Linked DNA regions of Astyanax mexicanus. The protein of the gene in region 4 interacts with the protein of the main gene of each other region in a pairwise test. Links are inferred from orthologs where the notes say so. Each region holds a gene or a part of one and is shown on either strand. Other genes may lie near its edges. The genes, in order: slc25a48, hoxb9a, spg21 and mid2.

Region 1 (6,996 bases), about 2.4 Mb from region 4:
TGTTGCTGGACTATTGCTGAAGCTTTGCAAAATAAGTCATGAGGGTGGGTAGGATCAATGTTTTTGTGTCTTGCTTGGCCCTCTATTTTTCATGTGTGCTTTTTGGGAGAATTATTTAGTGTTTTATTGTTGGGAATATTAAGGACTTGAAACTATTTGGAACTGGTGCCTTTTTCTTTTGGGATCTTTGACTTTTGTGTTTCTCTTTTTGTTTTTGTATGGAAGTGGATATATGTATCTATATAAAAGATACTGAACAATGTCAGAATTTTCAGTACCGGGATGGGGTGGTGGAGTGGGAGGGGGGATTACGCTGGTATGGCCTAAACTTTTGTCTTTAATGCCATTTTTCCCCTTACATAAATTTAACTTTTACACTTTAACCCTTTCAGACCCTGCATACATTACAATGGACAGTGTTTTGTTGCACATAACACTATTTGAGAGCTGTTGTCCATCAGAATAGGCCATTAACCAGCCAGTGAACATGTTTATAAACCAATAAAACAGTAGCTTGGCCCCGCCTACTGCACTGAAAAACAGCAGTACTAGAGCCACTAAGGCCTTAAAGTGTAAAAGTTAAATTTATGTAAGGGGAAAAATGGCATTAAAGACAAAAGTTTAGGCCATACCAGCGTAATCCCCCCTCCCACTCCACCACCCCATCCCGGTACTGAAAATTCTGACATTGTTCAGTATCTTTTATATAGATACATATATCCACTTCCATACAAAAACAAAAAGAGAAACACAAAAGTCAAAGATCCCAAAAGAAAAAGGCACCAGTTCCAAAGACCATTTTTACTAATTTAATGTGATTTAGAACACTTTTTATTCATGTTTTTTGTGTGTTCTGTGTTTAGGGATGGTTTACAAAAGACAAAAAGAAACAAAACAGCATTTTTTTTTTTTTTCATCACTGGAGATAATTCAGGTCTGAAAGGGTTAAGTCGTTTTAAAACCAGTATTTTTACACTTTTATTAGTAAAAAAAAAAAGTAAAAAGCTTGAGTTGATGTAAAAATGTAAATTCTTATTTACACACTGTTCTTTCAGACAGAAAAACAGGTTCATATACCTTAACTGTATCGAGTGGATGTCCTACAATCACGCTGGAGGCACCTGAAAGAAAATAAAGCAGTATTATTGTGTGTGGGCAAAAAAAGTGAATTATTTTAAAAGGCCACCACAGGCCACGGGGAATGAGGAGCAGCTTGTTATGACAGCTTCTGTGGGTGGACGTCCTAGCAGCAAACTGATGAATAACACTTTGTCCTTTTTGATGAATACAACAGCATTGTGCTTTATGGGTGTCAGAACACAGACAAACAGCAAGTAGTAAAAGACTGACACAACGCCAGCAGGCCGGCCGGCAAGCAAATCTGAGCACTGGGTGGCCACACAGGCCGGTAACCCACAGAGCCTCGAGCTCTCTCCCCACAGCAATATGCGGTGCAAACAAACTTGAAACCCTTTAAACTCCTAAACTAGGAGTCTGGGAAAACCTATCCATGCTAAAAAAATACAGCTGGTAATTCAGAGAAAACATACCCTGTGCTGGTCAAAATCTTGTTAATGAGCTTGCCAACCAACATAGGGTGAGTTTTTTTCTGGTTGACTGGGGTGTTCTGTCTAGTTGTGCTACCTTGTCAAACTGTGCTTCCCTAGTGTATATTTAACTTAAAAAACAAAAAAACAAAATAACCACTATATTAGGGCATGTACCCAGTAGAAGTAGGTTAGTATATTTGGATAGCATAAACCACTATATAATGGTAAAGATATGGCAATGAGAGTCATTACAAACTGCTTTTGAATTTAATAAATATATATATATATATATTTATTATTCATTTCCATTTAAAATTTTGTGCAATGACAGTAGGTCCAGGTTGTTTAATGCAAAAAAAAAAACAGATTTAATACAAGAAAATAAGAAAAATAATTAAAAAGTGAACGTCAGCGCATGCGCAATACCTATAGGAAACACGTATCGATGGGTAACATAACTCGACAGAACACCTGCTTTTCTTGTGCTGGAGTTTTTTACGTTTAGCAGGGATAGCTTTTTTTTCACTAGTGGAAGCCCTGCTGAAAAAAAACAAGCAAACAATATGCTGGTAGTTTACCTCATTCAGCTAGTTTGTTCCTTACCAGCATAGAGTACCTAGTTATATTTTTTTATATCTTTTTTTCTGGCTAGCTGGTCTTGAGCTGTTTTTTTGCATGGAGCTTATTTCATATAAACTGGGGAGGTTCTGTAGTGTCTTTAGGTGTGCAATCATGTTTTTTCTATCTATCCATATATCGTGCTTGCTATGTGCCATTGCAGCTATATGCATTTCAGTTGCACTGAAAAAAACGAACAAAAAGAACAAAAATGCGAAAAAAACCCTGCAGAAACTGAGGTAAACTAAGGACAGAAACGCCCCCTAAAACAAACAAGCAAACAAAAAAAAACTATTTTACGGTTTCTGTGTTTATTTTCTTGGGTATTTCTTTCTTAAAACTCCACAACTGTCCACAGAAAATCACGAAAAAAGCTCTGCTCCTCACATTTAAGTTATCTAACAATAGCTAGCAAACGGTTCTGGCAAACTGTTGCAAACGCGGCTCGATCTGGTTACTTTTCAACTGAAACAAACAAGCACGTGCACAATGTAACTAAACTAGTAACTAAACTAGGCAATTGTGATGAAATATTACTATTTCTGTCTGTTATTATTATTATTTTTTTTTCAGTTTATCCGCCTCTGTGGCCACATAAACACACAGCAACAAGCGAGAACACACAGAAAAGCCACTCACCTCCGATCCATCCAGCCAAAAAATCATCCAACTGAAAAAAAGCCATCCTGCTCGAGCTGCTCGACGCTTCGCTCTGAGGTAAAACTGACTGATGTGTTTGAGCACAGACGCCCCTCAGACTTCCGAGTACATTTTAAAGCTCATGGGCGGATTCTGAAAGCCCACAGCACCCAAACAAGCCAGACCTGAAGCTGAGAGCACAACTTTCCCTCTGATATGTGCATTTTGGGGGCGTTGTTGAGATACAAAGTCTGAGCACCAATAGCGTTGCGAGGAAGGCTGGCTCTCCTTATCAGGATCAAAACATATACCATGGTGGCACACTTCCAGCTAACTCATAGCCTTCATATAGATTATAAGCTGTAAATGTATAGAAAGGGGCACTGCCACTTTACTGTCCTGTTAGTTTGGCTTACTTTATGCAGTTCTTTAAGAAGTTGCCCGATGCAGCCAATTTCTGTTTTAGAACTAGTACTGACTGACCCATATTAAAACTGAAACCTTTAGTATTTGACCGATACTGATCTAAAATGTATTTATTTATTTATTATTATAAAATGCGTACTGTAAAATTATAATCACACAGATAGCAAAAGTATGTAGAATCAACATTATAAAAATTCTTCTTTAAAACATCACTGATCTCCGATGTCAGAACTGATTTATTCAACATTGATTCATCGTTATGGTAGTGTATAATTGTGTATAAAGTACTAGAGACCCAGACTACAAGTACAAGTGCTTTATCAAAAAAGTGACTTGAATATAAGTAGATGTGTTTTTAAGCACCACACTTAAGTGGAGGTACTAAAGTATTCAACAGTTTTGGAATTTAAGTATTGCGAGTACACAGAACAAAAAATAATGGCTCAACTTAACTTAGTCAAGTCATCATTTTGCCTTGACTCAGTTAGGTTGTAAACATTTAGAATTTTAAGTTCATTCAAGTTAACTGAGTCAAGTTATCTTTTAGATTTTGTAAATACATACAATTTCGAGTCAAAACTAGATGATAACTTAAATCATTTAAGTTTATTTAACTTAACTGAGTTTTGTTCACACAACAATAGTTTAATTAACTTAACTGTTTTTTTCCCAAGTATTGTGGGCTTAAGGAATTTAGCTGTAGGTCCAGGTCAACATACTGTGACAACTAGGAACACAGAATAAAGGTAACTTGCTCTTACAGCCTACAGCACTGAGGGCTGACAATCAACAAATATATTACTCTAATTCATGCCCTGGATAAGGTAGCTTTGGGCAACAGACAACACATAGATGGTAAGTAAGGAAGAGGGCACACCCAATATGCAAATATAGCTGTATGAAACAACAATGTAAAAAGAGCATTGACACGTGTAGTACACTAAAAGTTGGTTGAAGTCACATTTTTTAATTGTCTTAACAAACATTTTTAAGTTTTCAGGTTGAAGTTCTCTGAGCTCATTTTATTGAGTTGTACTGGCCGGTAAGTTCACTCAACTTTATAATATTAGTTCTTCTGACTAAAACACTAGAGTGTAGTTTATTCTTAAATGTACTACTAAGGTACTGAAAGTAAAAGTACAGTACTTTGTTATTAGTGTAGTTATTACAGAAAGTACTGGAAAGTTTTCAGAGTGAAAGACAGAATGAGAGAAGTGCTCTTATTATGAGATCAGCTTGATTGCTTCATTTACTTAATGAGGAGCTTCATCAAAACCGGTAACAGTGCAGATCATCTACTGCTCTGGCTTAAGTGATCATGAGGGTTTGGAATTGTTTGTAACTTTTTTGTAATTGCAACGAGTAACGATGCAGCACATAAAATATATTAAAGTAAAAGTATTAAACTCATGAAAAATATGCAGTGAAGTGAATGTGGAAGTAGGAAAAAATAATAATTCTTCAGTAGATACAGATACAGCAACTATACATCTCTGGTTGTTTTTAATACATTTTACTGACATTAAATAAGTATATCTTGTTTGTATACTTTTCTTGTAGCTTATAGTATGTTCTTACGATGTATCTTATAGCAGCTTATAGCGTGTAACAAGATGCAAAACAATGCAAACTGACCAGTTTTACCAGTTGGGGAAAAAACAGGAACCACTAGTGAGTTAAGAGGTTAAATAAATTTTCCAGCTTAGAAATAAATATTATGTATCAATGTTCAAACATTACCATAATTATTGTGTTTGTCTAACTGTTAATACTGCATGATAAACTTTCTAAATGCTTACCCTCTTGCAACTCCCTCTGATCACATCACACAGTGTAAGGTTGTGTGTGTTATTTTCAGGCCAGATCAGAATAAATTTATTCTCCATAGCATTAGGCTGTGGAGCTGTAGAATCGCCTTCTATGCAGTAATAGAGCTTTATCTGATTCCTTAGGGATGAGTTGGAGTGGAGGTTGTGATCCAGAACTAATCATTCAACATCAGCGCCTAACCTCCCTAATGATTAAATGTAATCAAATCCTCACTGCAATGTCCTAACACCTTGAATAAAGCCTTCCCAGATGAGTAAATATTGTAAATACTTTTGATTTCTAAAGAAATACTGGATAAGCAGGTGTCTACAAACTTTTTGACACACAGAGCCAGTCTTTCAGACTCAAGCATAAAGTAAAAGCATTGTGTCGTAGCGCCAGCCCACTGCTTGGTTGTTGTTATTCTACTTTGGCGCATGCGCGCTGTCTGCCCTTCTCCTGTGTGTACCCTTCCCCCGCTTCGCTCTTCAGTAAAGTTGTGCTGTTATCACACACACATACTCTCTCGGCTGTGAGTTGTTCCTAATTACTGGCGTGGTGGCAGCGCAAAGTTACCGAACCCAGCCTTTCATCTCCACTTTCTCCAACTCCGACGAACGTGTCAGCAGCCGAGGTGGTAGTTTGAGTGAACTACAATTTACGTGATGGCAGCTAATATCAACCGTGCACCGAAACAATGGTGTCTGACCAAACAAGAGACTCTGAATTCATTCGAAAACTGGAAACAAAACCTACTATACACACTCTCGATGGATCCCGTGTTTGCTCCATTTCTCATCGATGGCACGTCATGGGGTAAGAAGAGCCGTGATACTCCTCTCCGAGGATTTCAAGATGATGGTGAGTCACTTGCTGCAGCACACAGGCGGACTGCCCAACAAAAAGTTCGCCAGTTAGAACTCATGCTAGGCCAAATTGCCAATTACTGCCCTGTGATTTCTCGTAACACTATTGTCAAAAATTCCACATCCGTGGAGGGCATATGGCAAGCCATTCGTTTACATTATGGCTTCCAAACCACAGGGGCTCAGCTTATTGACTTTGTAGACATTCATTTAGAAGCAGACGAACGTGCTGAAGATTTATATCAGCGGCTTATGGCCTTCACAGAGGATGGTCTCCTTAAGGCAGCCGGGTTAACTCACCATGGCGTTACTCTAACTGAGGATGAAGAGCTGTCCCCGTCCCTTGAGAATTTTGTAGTCGTGTCATGGCTGCGTTTGATTCATACTGACCTACCTAAGCTTGTCAAGCAGAGATACGGCACTGAATTGCGCACTCGTACATTGGCGTCTATTAAACCCGAGATTTCCCAAGCTCTAGACTCCCTGCTCTCTGAAATCCGTTCAGCTGACGACGCCAAAATCATGCGAGCAGCCACCTCTAACCGCACATACAGTGGCGCGGTACCCCGTCAGCCCCTCTTCGGTGCCCTCAAAACACAGATGCGATCAAGCCCACGAGAAAAGTCGTGCCCCCTGTGCACACAAGCAGGCCGTCAAAACAACACACACTTCCTCAGTTCATGCAGATATTTACCCGAACAAGACCGTAAATTCATGCTCAAAGCCAGGCAGATTGTCTCTGTGCTCGGTGAGGAATCCACCGACCCATCCACTTACCACGTATATTCTGATGACGAGCCACCTCCCCCTGTGTGTCCTGAGCTCACACAGCCCCACACTGCCCGCGCTGTTCAAGTCAGACAGTCACCGTATATAGACACCTTTTACAAACACCACCATGCACGCATCATCCTCGACACAGGCGCCACTTGCAACATGATCAGACTGTCTGCTGCGCACCGCCTTGGTGTTCACATGACCCCAAGCTCCCAATCCGCTCACCAGGCTGATGGTTCCTCTCCCATGAAGGTGGTGGGCGAGACCCGTCTTACTTTCAACCGGGGTGCCAATAAGTTCCACTTCGACGG
Region 2 (6,960 bases), on a different chromosome or scaffold from region 4:
CGTGTAAGGACATCGCTTCTTCCTGGACGAACGGGCGTGCAACCAGTTGGCCGATGGATCATCTGCAAATGACAACACAATCAACGTTTGGTAATGAGAAAACTGTACAAAAGATCAGATGGTTATATCAAAACTTGAGATAAAATTTAGAGATGCGTGCAGACTACTATTACAAGCAGACATAGTGGTCCTTTGAGTTCATTGAATGTAAAACATAACTTGCAACTACTACCATTACCTTAAATAAGCCTATACAAATTGCCTAAATGGCTGGTGTCCACAATCAAAACATTAATCCGACTAATTCAATTGTGTTGCGACTTTCCAGTCATGGCTTTGTGTCATTCTAAACCATACTGGAATGCATTTGAAACCGCGATCCGTTGAGCCATGATATTATCTCCTTTTAGGGAGAAATATGAAGAGAATTGTGACGAGAGTGTAGGGCTCCTTTTCCTCTGTGGCTTTCTCGGGAATGCAGATGGGAATGTTTAAAAAATGTTTCCATTAAATTGCCTTTGGGATGAGACAGCAGACTGTATCGCGTGCTCTGTTAGCAACAATGTTACTGCTCAAGACTCTATGTATGAATTAAAAATCAATATCATTGAAAACGGGTACCATTCAGTTGTGGACTACTAATGTAGAAGAACATTCTTATCCATATAACAGAGGTCAACATTTTCCCCAAACTCGGAATCACTTTATCTACAATCCAGCAACGTCTTGTCGTCGAATGACAAACTATCAAATGCTGGAGACATAACTCGGCCCCAGCGAGGGTCACGAGCTTGAACGTTAGAGACTCACAGAAAGCTTTTCTTGCTGCAGCAATTTTCTTCCACGCATACATCGTCTAACACATTGAACCGCTCACTCCAGTCTTACATTAACTGTCTTAGATATCTCTTGTGACGCACTTTCTTTATATCACGAATAGGAAGAAACCCCTATCAAGAATTAGGCATGTGTCATTTATCTAGGCCTTATGTACATGTATGAGAAATATGAAGTCACCCACACTTGCTGAAATAATAAACACTGCCTGGATGCATGATGCTATTCGTTTTATAGCGAGAAAAACATTCCTATTTCCTGTTTGAAGTTTCTTTTTTGGCAACGTCTCCTGTCAAATTAGTTTTAGTACAAATGGGGGTTTCATAGTTGAAACACGCTATTGCATTTCCTCGAGGTCAGATATAGTATAGTTGGTCATGTACATATTTTGCATTATACATCCAATAAAGGACACACAGAACAATAAATGGATATGTTGGTTCCCCTTAACTTAATAAACTTGGTGGGCAATAAGCTTTATCCTTCTCCTGGGCATCCACGAGCACAACGTGTGCCATGTAATTCTCAACATTCATTTTTTCTACAGTTTATACTGGAGCGACGCCCAGGGCAGCACAATGGGGATTTCTGTTGCGCTCAATTCCATTAATGTTTGTGTTGATCGAGCCTACTTCGGGAATTAAAATCGATGTTCTTTCCACGTATTGGAACATAGGCTACGTATTCCAGTCACCTTTGTAGTGGATCATTTATGAACATTGCCAAATATAGCACATATTAAAAAGGACTGTTGCTCATGCTTTACTTCTGAGTTGGTTCCGGGGTAGCTCTTATTGTCTGTGCTTTCCATACCCACACATGAATTGGTGTAAGTGATAATATACCAATAGTCAACATCCAGACACATGGTCAATTACAACAGTTGCGGAGTAGTTTGTGGTGTTCCATTGTCGTTGCTATCTTACAACTCACTATGCAAGTATTTTTATATTTAAAAATATATATAGCCTCTGGCTACAAATATGGAATACGAAAGACAAGAATCTAAGTAGTACTGAAGCGCAAGTAACAAGCGTTGACGCAGAGAGAGGGAGAGAGTGGGGAAAGAGAGATAGAGAGATTAATTATCTAAACGAGGAACAACAAAGTCACAGTAACTGCACTAAACATTCGCTTTTAAAATCACAAGCATGCTCAACTTCTCATGAGTTCTGTATTCATGTTGCCTACAAACATGCCTGCTCTCGAGCTCTGCTTGCCACATGAGCAAACTTGGCAGGGTGGGGAGGCTGTGGGTCTCAGCAGTTGCTTTGTTCGCGTTTTATGGCAGCATTAAAAGCTTTACAGACTGTTTACTTCCTCTTTTATAACTTACTTTGATCTGGTCCTTCTTTGTCCTCGCTACCTTCACAAATGTCCTTACTGTCTTCAAATCCCGAGCTGTGGCCAGAATTCATCTCCCGAGCCGAGGAGGATTCCAAAACATATTCGTGCTGCCCTCCGAGTTTTGGGGGCTCCCCGAGATGTCCCAACAGTGGCTCCATCTTGACCTGACTCTGACCAGGCAACGGCTCGGCTCTCGGAGCGCAGTCGAGCCATGAACGAAGATACCGTGTATCCGTTGAAGGCACGGGCTGCGTTGGGATATAAGGATGGTAGACCGCCGGTAAGCCATTGGACGTGTGCGGACTGAAAGGACTCCATGACGAACTGAATACTGGAGGCTTGGGCTGAAAACTACACGAAGGGAATTCGGGATGCTCCCCGGTTCCCGGCTGCCTAGAATTGGAGTACTGTACATTGGCAAATCGGGCAGCGCTCGGATCTTCTCCCTCATGACTTATAATGGAATCGACATAGTAGTTGCTTAAAGTTCCAGAAATGGACATTCTCGGACATTATACACCTTACGGTTCAGTGAAGGGAAAACATGTACCATAGAAATGGGCTTCCCCCTTTTCAAAATGCTACCGCTACTCGTTCGCCAGCAAGTAGAGCCAGGCTGCTCTGTTGTGAGCTCCGAGCGAAATGATTGGTCAGTCTTTTTGCGAGCCTGATAAAGAGTCAATGGGGCGTAAATCAATCCGCCAAGGGGCTGCGCTGAGCTCTCCTCCTCTTGCGCTATCCATATTTTCGCCTCTAAATAAACTGTCTTGTTTATGTAATATGCAAAGTGGGAGTATGTGAATATATCCTAAGATATCTACAACCTGTCGGGGAAATATCCGCTTAAATTACACAACGTTTTGACAATATGAATAAAAATGCAAAGGCCTGTGCATACCAGTTACATAGTAAATATATTTTGTGTATATTTACATTAGAAAATGTAAGCATTTTTATATATTTAGAGCATTCCTAATCCTAAATCTGCAAAACAGTTTTCGTTAGTTTGAAAAAACATTCCAAAAAGCTTAAAAAGGTATCTACGAGCTCTAGTGAGGACAACATAATCCGTCTGTCAAGTTCATCTATCTTTAACGCAGTTTTTCTCTATTGTAACATCTTTGGGAACATTTTACAGCATTTCCTGGGCTTTTATTGTTGACTGGTCTTATTCGGGGCGCGTGGAGATAATACTGGGGTTTATAAGGAAATTAACGGTAATTTTTCTTAACGAGTGTGTTAAACAGTACCTAACGACAATTCTCTTGTATTTATGGAAGAAACTACTTGAACTTTTTCGTCGTTTAATACTATAATAAAATACTACATCAGCCAGCTTTGATTTTTATAGACCTGATATACTGCCTGTGGCAAAGACCGTAAACGAGTCTGCCGTAGGATTTAGCGCACGCGCTCATGAGGAAAAAAAAGATTCAGACACACTTGGTTTGAGAAATGAGTGCTAATTTAAAAAAAAATTCTATGAAAATATGACGTCATTTTTGGTGACTCCCTTTGTACAACAAAAATATATATATTTAGCCACGTTCCTCAATCACATACAAAATATAAACAGCATTAACCCACGTGCGCCAAATTATTTTCAGTTATGTTTTACATCACAGGCCCACAAAATAAATATATAAGCAAAGACCTTTCCAAAAGATGTGCTTTCATCATCACATGTATTGTTCTATTCTTTTTCATACAGTTCATTTGTTATATATTTTGAGTCTGAATGGTAAGTAAATACGTGTCTTTATTTACATTTCACCATTTAAATGTGTTATTTAAGAAACAAAGCACAACATTATAAAATTACCTCAAGGCCAAACACACTCTGCAACTATATACAAACAGTGTTAACTTCATAATGAAATACATTTGTGCAATAAGCTTTGGGAAAGCAAGCAACCACAAAAATGTTAAGCTCCTAAACACTAAATGCTAATCGCAATATTTCTACATTCCTTTGAGGTAAATTAGTACTTAGAATTTAAACACACTTTTTGAGTCTTCATGTTCTCCCATTTAGGGTTCATCTAGCCTGTTAAAATTAACACCATATATATCGTTTAACATTGGGAACATGTGTGGGCAGGGATTAAGCCTAGTTCTAGATTTTTTTTTCCTTTCAAAGGAAAATCTCCATTCAGAAATGTGGGTTTGAAGATGGATGGAGGCCTATTTTAACCATGCTTGCACAAGGTACCACTGCTATTCAACTAATTTGTGTAGTGTGTATCTGTAGTAGGAATTCCTACTATAGATACATATTCAGTATCTTCCAGTATGTCGGTCATGTTAATTTCTACAATTAATCATCAGACGATTATATATCTGCTTTTCTAAGCAGCTCTCAACGCTAATAACGTAGTACTACAGATATTGCCTTTATTTAGGTAAAGCTACATGCTATGAAATAATCAAATTACAGAATGCACGATTTCATTATTTTATTATAGGTATAGTACACATAATGCAAAATAACATAAAAAAAGTAATGGATTAAATTTACAAAGGTATACATTTACAAATTAGCGTCACACATTTAGAATTATTGACGAAATAACTTATGTATATATTTATTTTCATTTAGTTTAGTCAAGTTAAGCAATTTTGCTGCATGTTTTATTTTACTACACGCTAAAAACTAATAACTAAATGATTTTGAGAAAGTGCTGATTCTGAAAATAAAAATAAACAACATCTATTGAAAAACATCTGTTGTGTAGACAAACTATAACTCCAGTCATGGAGTCATTAAAAAAATGCATTTAAAAACTAAACTGCTTGTGTTTGATGGTTCATTGCTTCTGGTTTAATACTTTACAAAGTGTTTACTTATTTTGCTCACTTTTCTTATTGGTTTGTACTTTAGTCGATAGTGTGATCCACAATAAATACGACCCGTAAATAATGTCGACGCGGTCTATATATATAAACTGTAATTAATTTTGCATTAACCTTTTTATTTTTGTCAAGGCACAAGAAATACGTGTCCCTAACAAATACCACTATGCGCTTACCTATATGAGACTAAGCACCAAACTTAACGACACACACATACAAATGGACAGTTAGACACATTCATGCAGATTCATGAAAATAAATAAATATAATCCCGCTTTCGGTGTGGGCAGATTTACAACTGCTGCGCGCTTGAACATTCATAAAAGGTATTATGCTTGTGAACGAATTAATGACCGCACAGGAACGGCTGGGAAATATATTTTAGTTCTCCGCGCTGTTGTTTGTGCAACAGGTTGGCTTATATCAGCAAGATCTTCAAATCTTTTAGAGCTAAAGATAAAAATACTACGTAGGTTCCCAGTCAAGAATAATGCTTCTTTGTAAAATCAATTTGTTGCGCCAGTGCATCGATGTGTAATAACTGGAGTGATTCAGACAGTTTAAGGTTTCTGTGTTATTAAATGTTCAGCCCAACAATGTGAAACTACCTGATCACACATAAGCTCCAATTAACGCTGGAAGCACACCAGCAGACATGCAAGAGGGAGCTTGTGGGCTGCAGCGGATTTTAGGATGGGGACCAATGCAAGAAATCACACAGTTAAGCGAGCATAATACATGTAAATGTTAAATCAAAAATAGAAAATAATAAGATAAATAACAAAAAGACGGAACGTATGTTAGCATGCATGCGTTGTAGTTTTCAAATCATGGGCTGTGTCCCAGTATATAGTAACTTAAGTTCACAAACGCATCCGGTTTTTTTTTTACTTCAACAGCCGAGCCCGGTAGTAAAAGCGACTCGATTGCCACTGGTTCAAAAAAGGACCTCCTGTCCTGCTTGGCCTATGACGTTGGGACCTGTGGGCTCTAAACATGGCGACTCCCAGAAGCAGAGATCTAGTTCTCTCTCGCTCAGACAAAAAGGCAGCAGCTGTATTTTTTTGTGTTATATCCGCATATGTTTTGAATTAGTTTTCACTCTCAAATCATTCAAGGCAAGCTCTACAGCTTGGGAAAAATTAAAAACACACGACAATAGAGATACATTTCAACGTTGCCTTAAACAGGAATGCAACGTCTTTGACAATGCAATAACATGAAGGTCAAACCTCATTTCAACATTGTAAAATGTCATTTGTTCTGATATTTTACTGGCAGTCCATGTAAAAAATAAAAGGTAAACACTGGCGTTGTTTCTAAGACGGTACCAACGTTTCTGTGAGCCCGACTTTCACTGATACTCAAAGTCATGCTGAATGACTAACAAGCCGCATGGACTTCAAAAGCTAAATTAATAAATCCCTGAACATTGTTGTTGGTGATTTCACTTTTGAACTTCGGACTTTTGTATATTTGAGATCACAAGGCAGGATTCAATACAGAAAGAGCATAGACATCTCCTATGTACACATGCAATCCAATAACAGTACTAGCTCTATTTTGAGTTTTAAGGATCAAGAATCTAAAGATCTAAAGATAATCGGTTTATTTTAAAGTGCAGAAATGCAAACAATAAGAAACAGCCTTGGCATTAGTGTAATATATGGTGTGCAATATGTCAGTATTGGATTATAATGTGTTTTACAGTTTTTATTAATTTGATAACTAAACATCGACTGGCATCGACCTTAATTATCAACGTGGGTTTTAATAAAAGCGAACATGTATGTATAAAAAGCAAACCTGATTGTCCAATTTCCCTTCGGAATTAACTAGCACTACCACAATAATTTAAAATACATTCTATTAGAATGTTAAACGGAGTGCAAAGAAATAAAGGCCTTAAAGCTAAGGTTTTCA
Region 3 (7,508 bases), on a different chromosome or scaffold from region 4:
TGTGCAGTGTACAGCTTGATTTAGGGCTTGACAATGTGTCTTTGGTATCGTAAGGGTGCAAAAGAATACGCACAATTCTCTTAATTAATCATGGGTGTGTTTTGGGCGTAAGGTGAAATAAACCAACCAGGGTTTCACTTGCCTTTTCCTTTAAGAAGCAGGTGCTCTCAGTCTTTGGCAAATTGATATTTTAACAGCGCAGTGCTTCTGCGCTTCTCAGCAGAGAAAACTGACCTGCTTGTAGGCAATGTGAAGACGTGCAAGCAGCTCATTTATGGGAACTGCTATGGTCATATGGTTTCATTTGGTCTCATATGGTTATGAGAGACATGTCATCTGCTGGTGTTGGTCCACTGTGTTAAATCAAGTCCAAAGTCAGTGATGTAAGATTTTCTGGGAAAACTGACTTTGGACTTGATAGAACACAGTGGATCAACACCAGCAGATGACATGTCTTTCCAAACCATCACTGATCATCAGTAAATATTACATTTCATTTGTAAATCAAGGAATCAGAGTCTGGAGGAAGAGTGGAGAGACACACAGTCCAAACTGCTTGAGGTCTAGTGTGAAGTTTCTACCAATCAGTGATGGTTTGGAGAGACATGTGATCTGCTGGTGTTGATCCACTGTGTTTTATTATCAAGTCTAAAATCAGTGCAGTGTTTTCCCACAAAATCTTACAGCACTTCATGCTTGCCTCTGCTAACAACTTTTATGGAGCACACTGCCCACACTGCCAAAAGGACCAGTTTTTGTTATATAATATTCTATTTTCGAAATACTGACTTTTGGGTTTTTATAGGCTGTAAGCCAAAATCATCAACAATAAAAGAAATAAAGAAACTTTTATATTTTTTTTTAAATGCACGTGTATATTTAAAATGTGCTGATTATGTCTGCCATATAAGAAAATGCTTGTTAACAGTGACAACTGTCATTGACACTTATTGTCAAATATTTGAGTAATTTGCTCTTTCATTTTTTGATGCTTATCTTAAAAGAAGAGCTTTAATGTAAAACAGCTATGCAATAGTTTTTAAAGAAAAAAATCTATTCAATTTAATTGAACTTTGTCATGATACCAGTACAGGGTTTTACAGTACAACAAAACACTGTAGGACTAATTTTCCGGTGCTGTGATAAGAATAGATAAAAGGAAAGTTTCAGATGATACTTACAGGTTTCAACATGAAGTGAAACCATTTTACTCATAGTCATCTTTGAAAAATAAATCTCTCCTTTAAGACAACTTAATCTTCACTAGAACTTTTGATTTGTAAAACTCTACAGACACTCTGAACAATGGTCAGTTTTAAGAAACTTACCGAAATTACCCGATAGCCCCAACCGGTGAGAGCCAAAATCTGCTGAAAGAAAACCTCAGCTGTACCGCTCACAGGAGGAAGGAAGATGATTGGGCACCTGATGGTCTTTGGCCCGGCGTCGTACAGTGACCAAACTTTACTGTCGTCATCATCCACTATGATCTGAAAAGCAGCAATCGCAGCACGGTGTCACAAGCACAGCAGCCTGGCCTCAGTCACATTCCTAAAGGTGCTGGATCACAAGGCTATCACATGGTTCAAATCATGAAGAGATGGAGCGACTTAAGAAGCCATAAAGAAAGGGTCATGGGATATTAAACACAAAAAATACCACTAATTTTAAAATGAAATCCAATAACAATCAGACCATACAACCTGACCTAGTTGTACTAAAACATATAACAGAAGCATAAGCTTACCCTTTTCAGGGGCACTGTGCTTCGAAACCAGTTGTAGTCAGGAGACACTCTTATCTCCTCCATTTCTAAAATAGAATCAATTTACAGGTTAAGACACAAGAGAGACTTAACACAACTCTGTACAGAACTCTGCGCAGGACTCTGTACAGAAACAATGCTCCTCAGTAGCGGCTGAAAGGGCTGCTTTGTGCAACATCACATTCCTTGTTAAAAGTGAACAAATAATTTAATTACAGCATTAATGTTAGAACAACACCAGAACACATCCAACATGGCCTGCTGTGGACCACTTAATGTCAGTGCAGGCACTGCAACTGTAAAATAACGTTATATTGAACCATATAACACCTGTTATCAACACTTACTCTAAAATTGCAGATTGACACTGAAATAATAACACAGACACTAGTCATTTTAAATATGATAGATAATATGTGGACTCTACTTCTCAATTCTAATAAAACATTTATTTAAAGGATTCTTACACCTAATATACACAATTCACCTTAAAAATATCAGAAAAAAACAACCATGTTTAATGCCTAAATTGCTTACACAAAAAAAGTGGATATTTTTTTATTTTCGTGCCCAAAACAACATACATCTATATTAAATAGTGACAATAAATCTAAATAAATCTAGGAAAAAAGGTAACTACAGTAAAGCCCCTGTCTACTTAACTATCAAAGAAAAAAACTGTACACACAACAGCTTACACAGCTTTTATCTAATCACGTTGTTAATGATGGATCACTTTGTCACACACACTAACCTAACCTAGCTTACTCGCTAAGATAACTCATGTTTTTGTCACAATTCCTATTATAGTAACTGCATATACTAAACGATATCACTTACTAACAACATGTCTGGGCGCAGAATTACAGACATTTCTCCTGTTAGACCCAGAACTTTCGGTTCCACCTTAAAACAGGGGCATTAGCTGCGTTCCAAAGGGTGTTCAGGCGGCAGTATTAACAGCAGCACAATTTAAGGTGGAATGGAAAAGTCGACTAGAAAGCCAAGTTCAGCTGGTCGTGTGCTCTAAAATACGGAGTAAAATAGCGATATTCTAACATTGAAATAAGCCCCGAAAATATCTTAAAGGGCTGCATTATATCACAGAGCTGTTAATATAACAGTACTGTGCTTTGTTTAGATGTGTTTTACCTTTAACGGAGACTTCAGCCTCGGATCAGCACCATTTTAGCAACAAACCGAGAAGTCATATGACAGCGAGTTCCGCATCTTACACACGGCTCTGCGCATGCCCAGTACGACCACCACGTTATGGTGACGGAGAATATTTTAAGCATTAAATTATATTTTAATAAATCAAAAATAAAATGTAATAATTATTTTTATGCTAATAACATAATGTATTCCTTTAATAAATGTAGTCTAATCGTTTTTTATGTTAATGGAAATAAAATAATTGACTATTTTAATTTGTATTTTAATAAATATAAATTAACTATTACATTTAATTATATACGTATAATATTTTTATTATCATCCGGTCATTGACAAAAATAAATACATAAATATATAAATAAATATGTAAACAAACAAACAAATAATTATATAAATAAATAAATACATACACAAATGCTGTGTTCTGGATTGCTGCAAAATGCCTCCTGCTGTTACAGTATAAATATATATATATATATTTATACAGACTGGAACCATATTATCTTTAATGTCAAATCCAGGATCTATCTGTTTGGGATCCCACAACATTTGAGTTTGAGGCCTCGTGGTGAGTGCTTCAATCCTGTCTGTAGTTTATAGAATAAAACAATAATGTTCATTTTACTCAAACATAATATACCTATAAATAGCAAAATCAGAGAAACTGATTCAAAAACTGAAGTGGTCTCTTTTTTTTTTAAAGCTGTAAACCTGTGTAATATCGAAATTTGGCATCGGCCTAGAAATCCCACATCGGTGCAAGTTTACATTTGTCTAGTGTGCCTACTTTTTTATTTATTTAAAATATAAGGAGAAGATAAGCTTCCATGTAAATGAATACTAACATAGCATATGTAGACAGAATACCATTACAATGATGTTGATGGCTATAATATTCTTCCGGGGATGACTATTGTACAATATTTTTTTTTTCTATTGTACAATACATAACGTTACAGCTGATGTAATTACTAGTGAAAAAACATAGGTTTTTAATAGCTGGCCTGTATTTCTGGGGGTATTTCAGGTTATTCAAAATCTCCTGTACTGTAATAATCTGGCGTCATCTGGCCACAACCCACAGCAGCTCTAAACCTCCCCTCCAGTCACCTGGGTCGGTGTCCCTCAGAGCAGGCTGACGTTCTCTTTCCTTCAACTCCTGACATTTTCATTTCACCCCAACGGACTAAGGAGGGCAGCAGTGGACCTGCACTAGTTGTTCAACGCTCAGGTCCGCTAGCTTTAGCGAGTTCAGCAGCTAACTGAATGGTGGTGATGGTATACAGCTGGGGAGCAGGTTAGAATATCTGCTGTTTATTATATTCCGGTATTTCACTGCTGAGCTGCTATTTACTCCAGCTGAACTAGAAGAAGTTAGCTAAGGCAGGAAACCATGTCTTGTGCCTGCACCTCAGCAGCGAGACTCTTCATAAACTCAGCTCATAAAGGTAAGAGACACACTTTATTATGCTGCTAAAACTTTAGCTCTAGCGTTAGCTTAGCACAGACCTGGACTGTGGGCTAGCTAACACTAGCTAGGAGATAAAATAAAAAATAAGCTTATTTTTTGGTCAACATGGAAAGTTCTCTAAACACTGGATATGTACTTCTAATAAACTGTTGAGTATTGTAGTTGTAAGGCATGTTTTTTAGAGTACAGGGGAGTTAATACCCGGTTAGCCAAAGCTAGCTAACCTAACCTACCTGACAGACATTTAACCAACCTAGCTAACGTTAGCTACCGGCTAAACAACGGAGCAGCTGAAGTATGAATGTTGATACACCAAATTGCTACTATTTAACTTACAGACATATCTAAATCGGTTTAACAGTGTAAGTTAGTAATTTTTTTAAAGTCGTTCACTTAATTTAACAATCCATTACATCATATAAACAATCAGTTTAATAGCTAAATTATTCCTTAGTTTAATAAACCCTTCAGTTATTTATTCCCTTATAACTCCCTTAGTTTATTAGCTAGCTAAATAATTTAATTATTTTTTCCCCTGAGTTTAATAAGTTGTTTCCTCGGTTTAATGAATCGTTTCCTCAGACTAATGAACTGTTGCCCTAAAATAATGAATCGTTTCCTCGGTTTAATAAATTATTTCCTCAGTTTAATAAAATGTTTTCCAGGTTTAATTAATCGTTTTCTCCGTTTTAATAAGTTTGTTTCTTTCATTTTTAGTGAATTGTTTCCTCAATTTAAAATATTGTTGTCTTTTTATTTAATAAATCACTCCTTCAATTTAATAAATCGTTCCCTTAGCTTAATAAATCACTCCTTCACTTAAATAAATTGTTCCTTTAATTTAATAAGTTATTTCTTCAGTTCAATAAATCATTTCCTTAGTATAATAAACCTCTGCTTTGGTTAAATATTTTTTCTTTCAATATTTCCCTTGGTTTGGAGTTGGGTGCTTTCGTTAAATTGAGACAGTAATTAATTTAATCCAAGGAGCGTACTGTTGAATAAAGCGAATGGTTTGTTTATGTAAGGTAACAGTGTATCAAATAAAAAAGGAATTGATAAATCAAGAAGTAGTAAAACATCTACACTGAACAGTGAGTTTGACTTTAATAAGTATTATTTAAAGGCTTTAAACTGAACTGACTGTAACTCTACAATTTTTCTCATATTTTGAGCTACCTGTTTGTTTGTTTTTTTTTAATAAAAGGAATTTTGAGATGCACTTGCATTCACCGTGGTTGGGATTAAGTGGCGGAGGGGCTTCACTTAGGCCTAAGTTAGGCCTGTAACTAAGTGTGAGATTGATTAAATTAATTATTTCAAATGCAAAGTGTGTTTGTGTATATTTAGTTTGTTTGTTTAGGCTGTGGTCAGTTGAATGTTGTGTTAAGCAGTTTAACCTGATTGTGTGTAGATGCAGCTTCATGTAGACCAGGTGTGGCAGAGAAAACAAACAAGAACTCTCAGATATTTTACGCAATTTAGATTATTTTTCATACTTAAAAATAAGTACATATGGTCATCCTACATTACTGTGTGTGTGAGAGTCACTAAAATTATTTTCTATGTTTTGTCTAGGAATACATGGATCAAGAGTACAGCTGTTTTCTCTTAGCCGAACAGGATCTCATGAAATTCGTTTGACCCATAAAGTCCCTGTGAGATCTTTCTCAGAGACCTGTGTGTACTATGCATCCAAGGATGGGATGAAGGATGGAGATGGTGGAAAGGTAGTTCTGTGTTTATTTCTTTAATAAATCCCTATGCTTAATGGGATAAGAAATTATTAAAATTGTCTTTGTCTGGATGTGCAACAGGTTGGCAAGCATGGGTAAAATAAAATGTTATGTTGTTTAGCAAATTTAAGTTTTCTTATGAACATGTTCTTTTATTCCCTTAGCAATACCATTTCAACATTTTGACAGTGGACAGAGCTAATTACACTGACATGCCCAAAATTATAAGACATTTCTATTGTGCCTTAAATGTGGATGTGATCACACACTTATTGTGCTGTTTACAATAAGTTCAGGTTTTCTAGATCATACACAAGTGACTCTTTGGATAAAGTATTAATACGTGTCTAAACAACTTCCAAATTAGAATGTGTTGTCTATTTGGTGCAATCTAGCTCTGATAATTCACATTGCCTTGCTGTGAGCACACTGGCCAGTGTTCAGCCTTACTCACAAGATAAAACCTCACAATTTATACAGTTGTAAGTGTTCTCAAGCTGTCTCCTGAGATAACATTACTTGAATGTAATTACATAGTGCTATCCCATGACCTTTGACATGTTTGTGTAAATGCAGTTATATGTGCACCGCAACACATTCAACATAGCCTAATGCAATGTTAGGGCATTTCCACACCTGTAGTTGGTTACTATAGTCTAGTTGATCAGTTGATAAGTTTGTTTACTTGGAGCATTTTCTCCCTCTGTTTGGTTTGGTTTCACACAGGCATAAATCTAAACTCAGCAAAATGCTCACCTATAAACCACGCAAGCACATTGTCTCCTCTGATTGGTCAGACTGTCTGGTGCAGGAGCAAGAAAGTAAATATAGCAAGAAGATTTTGTGTGCCAGTTCCAGTATATCTATAATATATCTGTAATATATATATATATTTTCCTTGCAGTGTATAGTGTATTTTTGAAATATTTTATTTAAAAGTGTTTTGTCATATCTCCAAGAGTATTGTTATTGCAAAAATACCATGAAATATCGTGGTATTATTTTAGGGCCATATCGCCCACCCCTACCGCAGATGTACACTTAGTAAATGAAATCGTGCAGCTGCGAGTGCAGAACTGCAGCACACCCAGCTAACCAAATAACGTTGTTGTTACGTGCGCGCGACGTAACTTGGTGACCAAGTTATCACATTAATTGTGCATGTAAACAGCATGTAGCAGAGTTTAATAGCTGTGGTAATTACTGTTATCAGACAAATATAACAGATTAAACTGCACCTTATCAGCAGTTAAAGCTCAAATAAAAATAGTATATTTAATAGCTGGATCAGATACAGACCAGATCACGTTCTCACCTCAAGTGAACCGCTCCAGAGTTTGTTTGGGACCGAACCGAGACC
Region 4 (7,520 bases):
ATTTTCTGGATTATTAAAACCAGAGCAGCTGTTTTATTCAGGGTTTTCTGTTTGGCTCATGATGAAAGTAAACACTGGAAATTAGTGTTTACTTCTAATGCAAGTGTGACAGCTTATAGTGATAAGACTAGGACTGTCACTATTGATTATGGCCTAGTGGCCTTAAGCTTGTTAGTGTTAGGATCATCCTAACTGTTAATCTAAGAACAGAGAGTGTTGAGTCTGAAGCTCATGCAACCATTAACAAGGCATCTGTTGTTAAAACCAGCTTATTTTAGTTATTAATTAAGATGGGCAGGGTAACAAGTAATATTTACGTTTTTTTTGTCACATGCTATCGAGAAAAACATAGATTAATGTGTACTTTTCTAAGCATTTGTGTTAAATGTGTTGTATATGTTGTGTTACATTATATAGTCACTTTTTGCATGCCAACGATGATATACAAAGATATGCCTACACTCATGATATACTGGTACATACATGTATCACAATGTGTCATCTCCGGGGACATCTTGGGAATGCCCAATTGTGATGTGCTATCTTGTTAGCCAGGTTGGATATTGGGCAACGTGCTCATGGCAAGGCGACGTGGCTTATCAAAGTTGGGTGTGTTGTGCCAGCATTTAACATTTCTCAATCCACTACTTTATTGACAAAAAAAAGATTAGTTTAATTTATTTAAAGCAGGATTTTTGCATTGACCTTTTTAAAAGGATTCAACATGAACTATTTTAAAAGTAAGTTGAACCATCAGCATTAAACAACCTCTTACATTAGTGTCTCCATCAGCTCTCTACACACATCACTCATACACCACTAATACAACCGTTTTAACAATAACCTTAAATCTAACACCTGTACCCGAATGTTCCTGTACTCGCTCACACACACATACACAGACACACACACACACACACACACACACACACACACTTAGGGCAGATACCTACCTCTCTCTCTCTGTCTCTTTTCTCTCTACTCTCTCTATCTATTACCACATAACATCAAACAAGAAAAAAAAATATATATATATCTTCCTTTTCTATTTCTCCATTCTTTTTCTGTAAATATTCAGATCTATTTGTTGTTGTTTCCTAATATTTGTATCTTGTTTGCTATAATCCGTTTTTTTTTCTTTTCCCTCCCCCTTTCCTTTTTCTCTTGTAGTTTACAAATTGTTCAGTTATTATTATTATTATTATTATTATTATTATTATTAATTCTCTTTTTTCTATGTATTATTATTTTTTCCCCCTTTTCTCTACTATCCCCCACATGAACCTAAATATTTTTGATTTCCAAACTTAAACTTTAGCAATTTAGTTAGGATGTACTGTACTTCTGGCTTAGTATAGACTCTAAATTACAATTTCAAACAAATTTAATTTCAAGTAAAATTTATTCTGTATGTTAACACCACTCTAATTCACAAAAAAAGAGATTTTGTATGATTTTATTTAATGTGGTGAGTTAATTAGTCTCTAAGACTATTAACAACTGAAACCTCTTGTCAATGACACCCACCGTCAATTTGTAGTCATTTCCCCATTGGCTACCACCTCTAAATAATTACAATTAAAAAATGTGCTGATATTGATTAAAGGTAGTTGATTTCATTAGTGCATTAGTGGGCACTTTGGTTTTTAGTCAACATAAAGTGTATTTATATGAGTTAAGAAAATAAAAACAGTTGTATATACGTATTTCAATTAAGTAAGGATAAAAGGCTCATCTTCTACTGATTTAGGTAAAAGCATCTGGCTTGTTGAGTCAACATATCTTTTTTCCCACAGGTCAGTGCAGGGTTCTTAAGCTTCCATGTGACATGGCAAAAGTCCTGGGACTAGTTCATAGTTCCTAGTACATTTTTTACAGCAATTCTATAAGTTATTCAGTGGTAAGTACTTAGACACTACTTTTTGACTTTTATTAAGTAGTTAAAAAGGGGAAAAAAAATATGTGTTTTTGTATGATTTATAGTACTTTGCCAAACTCTTGCAATCAATCCTAATAGTATATCACAATCTCATAATATTATACTGTAAAAAAGACAGGTTCAATTTGTATTATCATATTGTAAATGATTAGCTTATCATCACTTCATGAAGTAATAATTACTCTATCAATGATTTTCTCAGGCAAGTAATAGAGTATCATTTTTAGAGTGATTAAGATTGAGGCCCACATGCATCAAAGCATCTCTATAGTATATTCAGAGCCTATTACTCAAGTCCTTGAAGGTCCCCAGAGACAGGAGGAATGAGAATTTATCTCATGCAGATGCCTCTCAAGGGATTCCAGCCTTTTAGCTCTTTAAGCCCCTCTTGCCCTTTCATTTGACTTGGACTTTATTTTTACATCTCATCTGTTTACTTTACACTGCAGATGCATGCGTGTGTGTAATCAGCCGATGTGGGAATTATCAGCGATATTGAACGTGAATGCTAATGTGATCAGTGGCGTGCAGGGTTTTATAGAGTGCCGGAAGCTGTAGTATAGATTAAGCACAATATTAGACTCAGTGAAGAAGAGTGCTCCATCACTGAGGGTATTATCTTTAATGCACAGTACAGAGCGTGAAGTTACTCGGGCTGGAATCTTCCGCCCACAGTAATTGCCATTCCAAATTTTGCATGCAGTCAGAATTTACTCCCTCAGCTGCACTAGAGTTTCACAAACAGCCAGCACAGTGTCAGCCAGTGATTCTGATCCTGGTGCATTTTACACTCTGGAACTAATTCGCTTTCAAAGGGCTTTCATGCCCACGTTATGCATTCCAAGGAGACAAATGGTTGCACAAGTTATTTATGTGGAGATTTCTGAAGTTAAAGTTGTGTTAAATACCTACTTGTGCAACATTTGTTCTCTCTGAGTGCTTATATTATGGAGAAACAGGGAGTTCTCTCTCTCTCTCTCCATGAAAAAGTTCCAAGGAGAGATTTTCCACTTTAAAATCTGCTTGTAGTGGACGGGGTCCAATGTGGTCTAGTGCAGGAATGTGGTGCTCATTCCTGATCCATGTGACTTCAGCCTGTGCTGAGTGTTTTACAGCAAAACCAATCAGTCATTAGTTTTCTTGCTGTTTACACTGTAGTGGGCCAATACAATCCTATATAATTTTGAATATAGATACTATTTTATTGTACACAATTGTTTATAGGCAATAGTTTGTACAATACAAGTCAATTATATTAGATTTTCTGTATTGTGTTTTTTTTTACATTGTAATAATGTAATATATGTATGTACTTAAATGTACTTTAATAGGGAATCACTAGTTTAGTTTAAACCCTTCAATTGTTTTCCTTTCTAAACACCATGGATCTGTATGCTGGACAAGGACTTAACCTATAGACCATATTTTCCTTTCAGTAGAAAATCTCTATTAAAAATGCTGTTGACCTGCATGACCAAGTGGGTTGACCAGCAAGACCAATGTGGTTGACCAACATGACCACCATAACCAAGCTGGGTGACCAACATGACCACCAAGACAAAGGTGGTTGACCAACATGACCAGCAACACCAAACTGGTCGACCATAATTACCAACATGCAAAAGCTGGGTGATCAACATAACCAGCATTTTAAAAAGATGGTCGACCAGCACGACCAACATGAAAATGTTGGTTGATCAACATGACCACCAAGACCAATGTGGTTGACCAGCATAACCAGCATGACCAAGCTAGTTGACCAACATGACCGCCAAGACCAAGCTGCTTGATAAACACGACCACCAATACCAAACTGGTTAACCAACATAACCAAGCTGGTTGACCATCTTGACCATCTCAACCAATCTAGTTGACCAACATGACCAACTAAAAAAAGCTGGTCGATCAGTAACACCAAGTATCACCATGCTAACAGACCAAGATGACTGATGACCTAACTAGTAGACCAGCATTGCCAACAAAACCAAGATAGTATACCAACAAGACCAGCATTACCAAGCTTTTTAAACCAAATTACCAAGCTGATCAACCAACATGACCAGTAGACCTCCCAGAATCAAATGAAACATGAACTATGATGGTCAGGAGCTGGTTAACCCACTAAAACCTAACAGCATAAGATATGTTTTGCCTGGAAAAACGCTTTCAGTCACCTTCACCATCAAAAACAGGTTTAGAGCTTGCAAAACCTGCTACCAGTGGAGAGCAGTCATCCTAAACTGGCTGCTTGCTAATGGTCTGTGTAACAAGAATGCCAGTGGTTTGACTCCTGGGTCTCTAGTGGCATAGGCCACTGAACACACACACACACACACACACACACACACACACACACAGATAAACACAGCCCAGTGCTGCCTTCACATCCCAGTAAAGAATCAGCATCAGCATGTAGCCACAATACCACACTCTTGCTGGTCATGCTCCAGTGTTTGAGTGGGAGTCGGTGCAAATGTGTGTGTGTGCGTGCGCGCGCGCGCGTGAGTTTCGCGCATGTGTATGCGTGTGTGTGTATACAGAAGAGAGCTGGGTGAAAGCTCTTCCCGTGGGATGGTCACGTGTCCTCGGGGAGTGTGTGTTACTCTAGGAGCCTGTCGGAGGGGGAATATGGTCCACAGCCGAGCACGCGCGCACGGGGGCCAGTGAGAGCGCGAGAGAGAAAGCAGAGCGACCAGCTCTCCAGCAGGCGCCTTTTTTATTTTCACGACAGCAGCTGGGAGAAGCGCGCGAGGGGAGCTCCACGCTGCGCTCGCTCAACTTTCGGTGAAACGGCAGCGCGAGCCTCTACGCGCGTCTACGCTGGAGCGAGCGGAGGATCGTCCGTCCGTGCGCGCGTGTGAGGTAGGCGAGCTTTGGTTACGTTACGTACGCATGCATGGAAACGCGCGCGCGCGCGCCCCTGTTGTGTTGTAGCGTTTTGTTCATTGCTGGTGTTGTTTGTTGTTGTGGGTGAGTGAGCGTGCACTACGCTACGCTACTAACCCAGCTGTTGCACCTCGTGCCTACTGTAGCCTACGTATGTGTGAGTGCGTCAATGTGTGTGTGTGTGTGCAGTAGTAGCAGTAGTAGACACTACGCGTTTGATGCCATCTTTTATTATTAATGCCATTAATGATGCATAAGCTGTCTCTCTGCTCCAAGAATTTAAAGGTTGTAGTCCTGGTGCTAATCTTCTGTTTAGTACTGATCCAGCATCAGTCCACAGTTGTGGGCTTTAGGGTCTGTCTACACTGGTCTCTGAAGTCCTGCTGAACACAGATGACCTCTTAAAATGAATTAATTCAAGCCTCCAGATGTTTAGATGTTTCTTCAACTCTGCATGAGCCTGCATTTTCATATTCATGCTCCTCCTCAAGTAAATTCCGATTTAATGCCAAATTATATGTAAATGAATATGAAAGATAGAGCATTAATAATCAGGTTACTTCAGGTGACTCTGATTCAGTTCACCTGCTGGAGACTGGAACCTCTTGCAACTCCAGTACCAGTTAAAAGTTTTCCTACTTTGTAAATTAATACTCAAGTTATCCAACTTAGAAGGAATACAAAAGGAATCATGTAGTAAATGTAAAAGTATAGCTTTTATCTGGAGGGCTGTTAACTTGTGGTTTCTGATAAACTTATCCTGTTCAACAGAGGTAACTCCTGGTCTTCCTTTCCTGGGGCAGTCCTAATGAGAGCCAGTTTCATCATAACATTTGATTGTCTTTTCAATTACACAATTTTTATTGTCTTTAGTTATTAGTAGTTATTGATATTATATGGATTATAACATTACTCATACGGGGCTATTCACTGTATACCGACTCTACCACTTGACTACACAACTGATGCTCTCAAACACATTAAGTGAGCATTTGCATTAGTGCTGAATTGGCAATGAATGCTGGGTGTTTGCATTTGTTCTCATCAGCAAGTCACCAGATGATGAATTCTCTGTATTTAAAGAAGTAAAACTCGTCCAGGAACTTTAATGGTTCTTGGTAAACATATTCCTTAGATTTGAAATGCAACTTGAGAAGAAAATATGATGTCATGCAAAAACAAGAACACATAATAAGAAATGGCCAGACACACTCCACAAATCCCTACAGACTTTTATTTCCTTGTAAACACACTGGAGCATTAAAAAGCATTGGTTTGAGACTTTATCTTGCCTCAGCATATGTGTCACTGCTGAAAAGTAATCACATTGCAAAAACAAAATTTAAAAAAACTAATTTCTATGCAAATCATATTTTTTTCTTAGTCACAGCTTTTAATACATGTAATAACTGTTTAGTAACACTAACAATGCGTGTAAGAAACAGTGTATCTATGGGGGAAGTACAGTACAGATACAAATCAATTACATTACACACATCAACACTTGACTTGTATTTAATAGTGTAATTTGTTTACATTATATAGTGTGTTTATGAATTTGTACATGTAATATAGTATGTGTGAATTGTTACATGTAATATAGTTTGTGTGTGTGTTTTTTACATGTAGTATAGTGTGTGTGTGTGTTTTTACATGTAGTATAGTGTGTCTGTGTGTGTGTGTGTGGGTGTGTGTGTGATTTTTTACATGTAACATAGTGTGTGTGTGTGTGTGTGCTTTTTTACATGTAACATAGTGTGTGTAATTAGTTGTGTAAAATGTCTGTTTCTTTAACAGCTCTTGTCTGGTATAGAATTAGGGTCCTCATTGTTTTTATTACTAAAAATCATAATTCAGATTTAATCATGGTAAGATGGACAGAATGTTCTGCTATGTTTAACTGACACTGATGCACACATGTAATTACATACCATGAATGACTGTAATCAATATTTAACTGTGCAACCACACACATATATCCACACATGTGTCATCGCAGTATTCCCTGACTTACAGGGGACATGGAAAATGTATTAAGACAATATACTGTGTTTTTTTTTTTGTCCTGTGACATTCAGTCACAATGCAAAAATTCGAGATTCAACTGATTGAAAGTTTCAAAACCTATGGTTTTCTTCCCTGTTAAACTTAAAAGGTTATTAAAATGAGATTAGCTCAAATTAGTTTAAAAGCAACGATATATTAAATATATGTATCCATATATTAGATTCCATTTGGCACATACACATCCTACATTTGCTTTACTTTGCTAAGATTTGATTACTTTTTTTTTATTACGTGCTTAACCTATAATAAATTAACATTATACAAACCCTAATATAAACAAATTAATATTATGTTTAGTGGTTTGTTGATTGGTGCTAAATATATATGAAATGTTTTTTTTCTGCCTCTAAAAGCCACACAGTAAATTTGCCAGTGTTAAAAACACTTTTAGAGTTAAATTAACACTGCAAGTTTTTTATTTTATTTTTTTACACTAAAAGTGTTGACACTGGCAAATTCATTGTGCACAATACTGGAAATTATTACACAGGATTACGCTTGAAATAAATAATAATAATAAAAAATATGGGTGATATAGTTATAAAGGAGTTATAAAGAAGACATTTTGCAGACATTCTGCAAATGTGGGGAAATTCATTTTCGACAAGCAAGGCTTAATTGTTTCCCA

Evidence for each region.
Region 1: the proteins of mid2 (region 4) and slc25a48 interact in binary tests that used the Homo sapiens proteins (3 or more experiments, as listed by UniProt). The two-hybrid records come from large-scale screens. The link is inferred for Astyanax mexicanus from reciprocal best matches to the Homo sapiens genes MID2 and SLC25A48.
Region 2: the proteins of mid2 (region 4) and hoxb9a interact in binary tests that used the Homo sapiens proteins (3 or more experiments, as listed by UniProt). The two-hybrid records come from large-scale screens. The link is inferred for Astyanax mexicanus from reciprocal best matches to the Homo sapiens genes MID2 and HOXB9.
Region 3: the proteins of mid2 (region 4) and spg21 interact in binary tests that used the Homo sapiens proteins (3 or more experiments, as listed by UniProt). The two-hybrid records come from large-scale screens. The link is inferred for Astyanax mexicanus from reciprocal best matches to the Homo sapiens genes MID2 and SPG21.

What each region holds. Positions count from the first base shown.
Region 1 is NC_064417.1:38,903,952-38,910,947, forward strand, and holds the start of slc25a48 (solute carrier family 25 member 48), read right to left. Parts: upstream 3,010-6,996; 5' UTR 2,854-3,009; coding exon 2,808-2,853; intron 1,122-2,807; coding exon 1,078-1,121; intron 1-1,077.
Region 2 is NC_064426.1:33,305,593-33,312,552, reverse strand, and holds the start of hoxb9a (homeobox protein Hox-B9a), read right to left. Parts: upstream 3,002-6,960; 5' UTR 2,688-3,001; coding exon 2,174-2,687; intron 63-2,173; coding exon 1-62. UniProt on the Homo sapiens protein: Sequence-specific transcription factor which is part of a developmental regulatory system that provides cells with specific positional identities on the anterior-posterior axis.
Region 3 is NC_064423.1:9,407,263-9,414,770, reverse strand, and holds the start of spg21 (maspardin), read right to left. Parts: upstream 3,002-7,508; 5' UTR 2,918-3,001; intron 1,813-2,917; 5' UTR 1,811-1,812; coding exon 1,748-1,810; intron 1,491-1,747; coding exon 1,329-1,490; intron 1-1,328. Other genes in the region: clpxa (caseinolytic mitochondrial matrix peptidase chaperone subunit Xa), read left to right, coding at 4,335-4,389, 5,991-6,142. UniProt on the Homo sapiens protein: May play a role as a negative regulatory factor in CD4-dependent T-cell activation.
Region 4 is NC_064417.1:41,297,201-41,304,720, forward strand, and holds the start of mid2 (probable E3 ubiquitin-protein ligase MID2), read left to right. Parts: upstream 1-4,514; 5' UTR 4,515-4,801; intron 4,802-7,520. UniProt on the Homo sapiens protein: E3 ubiquitin ligase that plays a role in microtubule stabilization. Mediates the 'Lys-48'-linked polyubiquitination of LRRK2 to drive its localization to microtubules and its proteasomal degradation in neurons.